Macaca fascicularis: one gene and its partner. The protein of the gene in region 1 purifies or fractionates together with the protein of each later gene. This does not show direct contact. Links are inferred from orthologs where the notes say so. Each region holds a gene or a part of one and is shown in the gene's direction. Other genes may lie near its edges.

Region 1 (3,814 bases):
CTGTCTCAGAAGCTTCCTTGGAGAAAGAGTTGCTGCTGTTTTGCCAGGAGGGTTTCCTTCCCCATCTGACCACACAGGAAGACCCCTTGGCCTAGAATGCCTGCCCTCATCTCCAGGTCTCCCAGGCTGTTCACCCTCCCAGGCAAAGTGGAAGCTTCCTCTCTTCTTAGATCGTTTCCCACTGAACCTCCTTCATTGTCCTTCACTGCAGTGAAATAATCCTACAGGGTCTTGGGTGGAGAGTAATGGTAACTTCAGATAATTGAGAATTGGAACCAAAACATTCTTCTATTAGTAAATGTTTTCAGTAAGTTATGCTGTTTCCCTGAGTGGGAAATAATAAAGTTACCCTCCATCGTGTTTCTTTTTTTTTTTTGGGGGGGAGACAAAAGTGTTGCTCTGTTGTCCAGGCTGGAATGCAGTGGTGCGATCTTGGCTCACTGTAACCTCCACCTCCTGGGTTCAAGTGATTCCCAAGTAGCTGGGATTACAGGTGTGTATCACCATGCCCAGCTAATTTTTGTATTTTTAGCAGATAAGGGGTTTCACCATGTTGGCCAGGCTGGTCTCCAACTCCTGGCCTGAAGTGATCCACCCACCTCAGCCTCCCAAAGCATTGGGATTACAGGCGTGAGCCATTGTGCCCGGCCTCACATCTTATTTCTAATCCCGAGACTGAGTGTAGAGCTGGTGTCTGTTTTTGGAAAAGATGTCAGTAGAGAAGTGGAGTTCCCCAAAATTACAGTTTCACATATTAGTCAAGTTTCTAAAATACAGTAATAATGTTGAGAGCTGACATAGGGACTTAGATTTTTTTTTCCCCCAAATTCTCACCTAACTTTGATTTTGCTAAATAAGGACATTTAAAACAAAAAACAAAACAAAAAAAACTCCACTATTGCTTATTGCCACTATTTGATTTTTTGAAAAATAAGCGTATTTTAGCATCTAAAAGTAGGAATGACCTCAAATAAATGAGTCTTTGTTCTTGGCCAGGGAAAACGTTGTCAGAGTTTGATAACTGTTTTTCTAGGGTATGTGCTGTTATTCAGTTAAAATATTGCCTGGGATGCTGGCATTCACTAAATACTTGTTGAATAAGCAAATGAAACTTAAACTTCTATGTATAGAAACCTAAGTTGTCAGACTCATGTCCAAATATCACTTCACATTCTGATTAGCAGAGTAATTGAATATTCTTTTCAGTGTGTAGATCTATCCCCAGAATCACAGAATATTGGAACTGTAAAGGCCATCCTGTAGTTTAACCAACTGCATTAAATACATAATAGAAGGAGGTGGTATGTGGCAGTGACAGCTTGAAGGTTGTGACTAGAACTCGGGTCTCTGGTGTGTTCTATTATATCACACCAAGCTGGTCACCAGCCCATGTGTTGATCCTCCATTGTGATTGCAACAAAGAAAAGACTTCAGGACATTCCTTCTTTTACCCTAATCCTTGATCTGCAGTCTTATTTAGAAAAGCTTAATGTTAAAGATCTAGTTTATTCAAAACTAAAGATAACAAGGAATATGAGAATTTATTTCGGAGTGTAAAGGAGATGTTTCCTTGCCTTCTCTGAGCCTACAGGCCCTCGTTACTCTTTAAGGAAGTAGGGAGAGGGAGGAAAATAAAGTATGTTTTTGTTTTTTATGGTTACTTTGCTGGGAGTAGTTTGCATCCCTTTTGATTTTCTTGGGTGGAATTAACTGACTTAAGTTTTAAGTAGTTGGGACTATTTAAAAACAATGCCTATCCAATGTTTGCCATAAAGGCCGAGGGTATTGGCTTTAGAAGTTAATTCTTCTCCAGGAGTGAAAAATTAGCTTCTAAACCAGAAGCAGCGGAGCTAAATAAAGTAATTTTCCACCTGGCCAGTGCATGATGTGAAAGGTAGATTAAAAAACGAGAGGACCCATTTTCTGATGAAAGACTAAGCCCTGTTGAAACAGCCCTGTTTGAGGATTTTATTTTAAATCTATACATTCACAAAGGAGCTTTGTGTATGTCTTTCCCTATTTGTTGTTTGGACTAGGAAGCCCCACCCAGTGCTTGTTGAAGGCAGAAAGTTGTTGAAAGCAAGCCGGGATTTGAACAGTGGATTGAGGTTTGGAATATACAGTGAACCAAAATATATCAGGGTTCCCCTGCCCAAGATGAGTGACTGTTCTGAGGTGTTTCATATTTCTTGAATGGGGATTTTAGGAAAAGTTTCTGTATTTCTGTGCTCATTTTGTTGATCTCTGTATGTGCAATCTCTGAGGGTGTGTTTGGGCACTTAGATTTCTTGGATGCAGATTTGCTTGTATACAAAACATTTTAAATTGTTTTATGTACACTGGATTTAAAATTTTTTAGTTTACTAAATTTTTTCATCTTAATTTTCACAGTTCTTACAGTCTTTAGATTTAGGAAGGCTGTTGATGGCATCCACATGTGCATCTTAGTGACATTTAAAATGTGTTCAGCTGAATTTAACCATTTCTGACCTAAAACTTGACATTTTAGATTTAAGTCAGTAAAGCACTGATTTAAACTGGATTTTAACTGGATGGAATTCTGATTTAATAAGTGTACTGACTGGATAAAATGCCAGTGATTTAATTAACAAGCACGTTTAACAGGATGCTGTATATATTAGTTAAAAGTGAGGCAGTTGAATTAGGTATCTTCTCTGCTGCGTGGAAAAGACCGTCTGACTCACCCACACCAGCCTTCTCTCTGCTCTGAGTGTAGCTAACCGTTTCTGTTTTTTTTCCTCTAGGGTTTGGAAATCCCTTGTCTCCAGGTTGCTGGGATTGACTTCTTGCTCAATTGAAACACTCATTCAATGGAGACAAAGAGAACTCATGCTTTGTGCTGATTCATATTTGAATCAAAGCATTGGGGAGTCTGTATGCCTTGTTTGTGGAAAGAACCAGTGACACCACCACTGAGCTTCCTAAAAGTTCCGAAGAAGTTAGAGGACTAGACACTTTCTTTTGAACTTTTATAATAAATATTTGTTCTGGTTTTTGAAGCCCAGGGCTGTTAGAGGGGTGAGTGACAAGTCTTACAAGTGGCCTTATTCCAACTCCAGAAATTCCCCAAGGGAACTTTGAGATTATATGCAATCGAAAGTGACAGGAAACATGCCAACTCAATCCCTCTTGATGTACATGGATGGGCCAGAAGTGATTGGCAGCTCTCTTGGCAGTCAGATGGAGATGGAGGATGCCATGTCAATGAAAGGGACCGCTGTTGTTCCATTCCGAGCTACGCAAGAGAAAAATGTCATCCAAATAGAGGGGTATATGCCCTTGGATTGCATGTTCTGCAGCCAGACCTTCACACATTCGGAAGACCTTAATAAACACGTCTTAATGCAACACCGGCCTACCCTTTGTGAACCAGCAGTTCTGCGGGTTGAAGCAGAGTATCTTAGTCCGCTTGATAAAAGTCAAGTACGAACAGAACCTCCCAAGGAAAAGAATTGCAAGGAAAATGAAGAATTTAGCTGTGAGGTATGCGGGCAGACATTTAGAGTGGCTTTTGATGTTGAGATCCACATGAGGACACACAAAGATTCTTTCACTTACGGGTGTAACATGTGCGGAAGAAGATTCAAGGAGCCTTGGTTTCTTAAAAATCACATGCGGACACATAATGGCAAATCAGGGGCCAGGAGCAAACTGCAGCAAGGCTTGGATTGTCCCGCGACGATCAACGAGGTCGTCCAGGTGCACGCGGCTGAGAGCATCCCCTCTCCTTACAAAATCTGCATGGTTTGTGGCTTCCTATTTACAAATAAAGAAAATCTAATAGAGCACAGCA
Region 2 (3,814 bases), on another chromosome or scaffold:
AGTGGACTTTAATAGGTTTTAGCCCTTTTCTTTCCTTGCTCTGTTTCTTTTCCCTTCAAATCTGTAAATGGAAGTGATGCCAGGCAGAGCGTGGGGGGCGTCCCACATGAAACATTGGTGACCCCATCAGGGATTCCGGGCAGCCACGCGGTAGCCCAGGCAGGAAAGGGACAACCGTGTTCCCAAAGGCCCGTGCTGCCATCTGTGTTCTCCAGTGTCCGGGTCCCTCCTGTCCCCCTGCCTCATGGAGCTGCCCTGGGTCTCGGAGGGTCTGGGAGGGTCTTGGAGTCCCTGGGAGGGTCTGGAGATTCCTTGGGGGGTCTCGGAGGGTCTCGAAGTGCCTCGGAGGGTCTCAGAGGGCCTGGGAAGGTCGCAGAGGGTCTGGGAGGGTCTCGGGGTCTCGGAGGGACCTTGGAGGGTCTGGGAGGGTCTCGGAGGCCCGGCGCCCAAGGAGGATGGTGGTGGGTGTCTGCAGTCTGTGTCCACTCGAGTTGGTGAACTGAAGCACACACGAGTCTGTCTTTCCCGTGGATTTTTAATTTACTTTTTACAAATAACAAAACGTATAGGATAGAAAACCCCCGGGCGTCAGCCCTCGTTGACCCGTGCACGGTGGGTGGCGTGGAGTGGGCTGTGGCCGCAGGGCCGCAGTGGTGCGAAGCTGAGCACTTGCCTCTGTCTTGCAGGCGTCCGACCTCCAATCATGAACGGGCCCCTGCACCCGCGGCCCCTGGTGGCGCTGCTGGACGGCCGGGACTGCACAGTGGAGATGCCCATCCTGAAGGACGTGGCCACTGTGGCCTTCTGCGACGCGCAGTCCACGCAGGAGATCCACGAGAAGGTACCACCACGTGCTGGCGTGGGGCTGGAAGAACCACACGCTGGAGGGGAGTGGGGAGGGACGGGAGCACAGCAAGCCCAGGCCGAAGCGGGTCTGTGTGCCACTGGGGCAGGAGCGGCCTCTGTCCCAGTCACCCTGCGCCATCTGGAGGTGGACACGGGGTTTCCCCTGCACCCCGTCGGGAGGTGGACACGGGGTTTCCCCTGCGGCCCGTCGGGAGGTGGACACGGGGTTTCCCCTGCGCCCCGTCGGGAGGTGGACACGGGGTTTCTCCTGAGCTCCCTCAGGAGGTGGACACGGGGTTTCCCCTGCACCCTGTCGGGAGGTGGACACGGGGTTTCCCCTGCTTTCCACTGGGAGGTGGACACGGGGTTTCTCCTGAGCCCCGCCGGGAGGTGGACACGGGGTTTCCCCTGAGCCCCGTCGGGAGGTGGACACGGGGTTTCTCCTGAGCCCCGTCGGGAGGTGGACACGGGATTTCTCCTGCTTTCCACTGGGAGGTGGACACGGAGTTTCTCCTGAGCCCCGTCGGGAGGTGGACACGGGGTTTCTCCTGAGCCCCGTCGGGAGGTGGACACGGGGTTTCTCCTGAGCCCCGTCGGGAGGTGGACACGGGGTTTCTCCTGAGCCCCGTCGGAAGGTGGACACGGGGTTTCTCCTGAGCCCCATCGGGAGGTGGACACGGGGTTTCTCCTGCTCTCCACTGGGAGGTGGACATGGGGTTTGCCCTGAGCCCCGTCGGGAGGTGGACACGGGGTTTCCCTGTGGCTTCTTGATTCATTTTCAGTTTTTCCCAGGGAGCAGGTCCTTTTGTGGCGGGGGTGGAGTGAGGTGCTTTCCCCCGCCTCAGATGCGCAGCGGTCTCGGCATTGCCCACGACCCGGCTGTGGTCCAGCAGTGGGCAGCCTTTGGGCAGCTTTCCTGATTCATGTTTGCTCAGGAGCTCCACAGGCTTCTCCGTGATGAGGGCTAGGTCGGTCCGGCTCCTCGTAGCCAGGGATCCGTGATTCAGAGCAGCTTTTTCCTGAAGACAGATGAAGAATCTGGGCCCGCAGGAGCTCACGGGAGAGGGCCAGGCCCAGGCCACAACCCGGAGAGGCCCGGAGCCTGCAGAAACGGGCGAGCCTCGCCAACTCTGGCCTGGGGCGTTGGCTGTTCTGGAAGAAGTGGCTGAGAGACTGAATTTGGCTTTGCTGGGTGCGGGACCCTGCTGGGATATCCATGGCCCAGAAGGTGACACCTGGAGTGAGGGTGACCTGGATTCTGACTCGCCACACGGTTGGCACTCAGCCTACTGACGTCTGAGAAACCTTGAATCTGGATTTTCAGAGACCCCGCACTGCTGACCCCAGGTGCAGAAGGAAATGGGACGGCCCCTTTAGAGGAAGACAGCGTCAGCCCAGGCCTCAGGTCATTTCTAGAAATCCTCGTCTGGCGCGGGGTCCGTCAGACACAAGCAGAGGTAACCAGGCAGTCAAGGAGATGCACAAAACCCACCAGCCAGGGAAGCGGCGCCGGCCCATAGGAGCTCCCTGTGCTGCCCACGGGCCAGTCACCCCAGCACAGCTCCCGGGAGGCCGGGCCAGACACCCGACGAAGAGCTGATGACCCTGAAACGGGGCGTAGCAGTGTCAGGGGAGAACATGAGATGTGAATCTGAGAAATGCTGAAGCTGAACGGGGGAACTGAGGGGCGGGTTTACCAGTGGGCCGGGCAGCAGTGGACAGGAGGGAACGCGGGAGAGGGCGAGATGAGGAAGGGTCTCCCTCACAAACTTCAGAACAAGACGGGGAAGGGGCTGGAAATGATGACGACCGCAAAAGCATTTCCAAAACGGACAGAAGACAACCTGATGTTAAAAATGTGCGTGGTCTGCCGGGAGCTCTGCCGGGGCATTCGCTCTGGGAGATTCTTCACGGTTTCTCATGGGGTTAGATTGTGCTTGTAATGCAGCCCAGCGGCCACGCTCCTTTATCCTGGAGCCTCGGAATGTGCCGCATCCACACGCCCAGCGGCCACACCCCTTTATCCCGGAGACTCGGAACATGTATCCACACGCCCAGCGGCCACACACCTTTATCCCGGAGCCTCGGAACGTACATCCCCACGCCCAGCGGCCACACCCCTTTATCCCGGAGACTCCGAATGTGCCGCATCCCCACGCCCAGCGGCCACACCCCTTTATCCCGGAGCCTCAGAACGTACATCCCCACGCCCAGCGGCCACACGCCTTTATCCCGGAGACTCGGAATGTGCCGCATCCCCACGCCCAGCGGCCACACGCCTTTATCCTGGAGACTCGGAATGTGCTGCATCCCCACGCCCAGCGGCCACACGCCTTTATCCTGGAGACTCAGAATGCGCGTCCACACACAGACCTGCAAGTCATGCTCCCTGGCAGCTTAACTCACCATAACCCAAACCAGAAGACTATCCCCCAGGCTGCCCTTCAGTGAGTGAGTGGCCGGGCGAACACTGGCCACCTCCCTTAGTGTCCTCCTCAGCAACAGGCGTGAACTCTGGGTCCCTACCACACCCTCGGTGATCTCGGCAGCGCGGTGGTGAGTGAAGAAGCTGGTTTCAAGGGGTGCATGCTGTATCATCTGTTCATCCCCAGGTGACGGGGTAAGCGTGACGGAAACAGTTGCCCGGGGTGCAGGTGGGGCATCTGCCGGTGGGCCAGTGTCTGGAATCGGCGTGTGGGTACATCACATGGATGTGTCCACACGCGTGCAAGGGGCTGTGGGTGAACTGCCCGTGGTGCACACCTGAGGGAGTCATGTGGCACCAGCTCGGTTTTGACAATGCCCTTGGTTAGGTACAGTTTTCTCATTGGGAAACTGTTTGTATTAAAGATATACATGTAGGAATGAAAAAGAGGCTCGTCGAAAACTTTCAATATTGTAAGCAACACTGAAACAAGTTTTGCCAACGACCTGGAAAACTAAGGCAAAACAGATGTTTTTCTAGAAT

The links.
Region 2: the proteins of ZNF217 (region 1) and CTBP1 purify together in Homo sapiens (affinity purification with mass spectrometry; 10 studies listed by BioGRID and IntAct, counting the BioPlex papers as one, with this or other methods). This does not show direct contact. The link is inferred for Macaca fascicularis from reciprocal best matches to the Homo sapiens genes ZNF217 and CTBP1.

The regions. Positions count from the first base shown.
Region 1 is NC_088384.1:109,655,046-109,658,859, reverse strand, and holds part of ZNF217 (zinc finger protein 217), read left to right. Parts: intron 1-2,765; 5' UTR 2,766-3,108; coding exon 3,109-3,814.
Region 2 is NC_088379.1:1,332,456-1,336,269, reverse strand, and holds part of CTBP1 (C-terminal-binding protein 1), read left to right. Parts: intron 1-686; coding exon 687-841; intron 842-3,814. UniProt on the Homo sapiens protein: Corepressor targeting diverse transcription regulators such as GLIS2 or BCL6. Has dehydrogenase activity. Involved in controlling the equilibrium between tubular and stacked structures in the Golgi complex.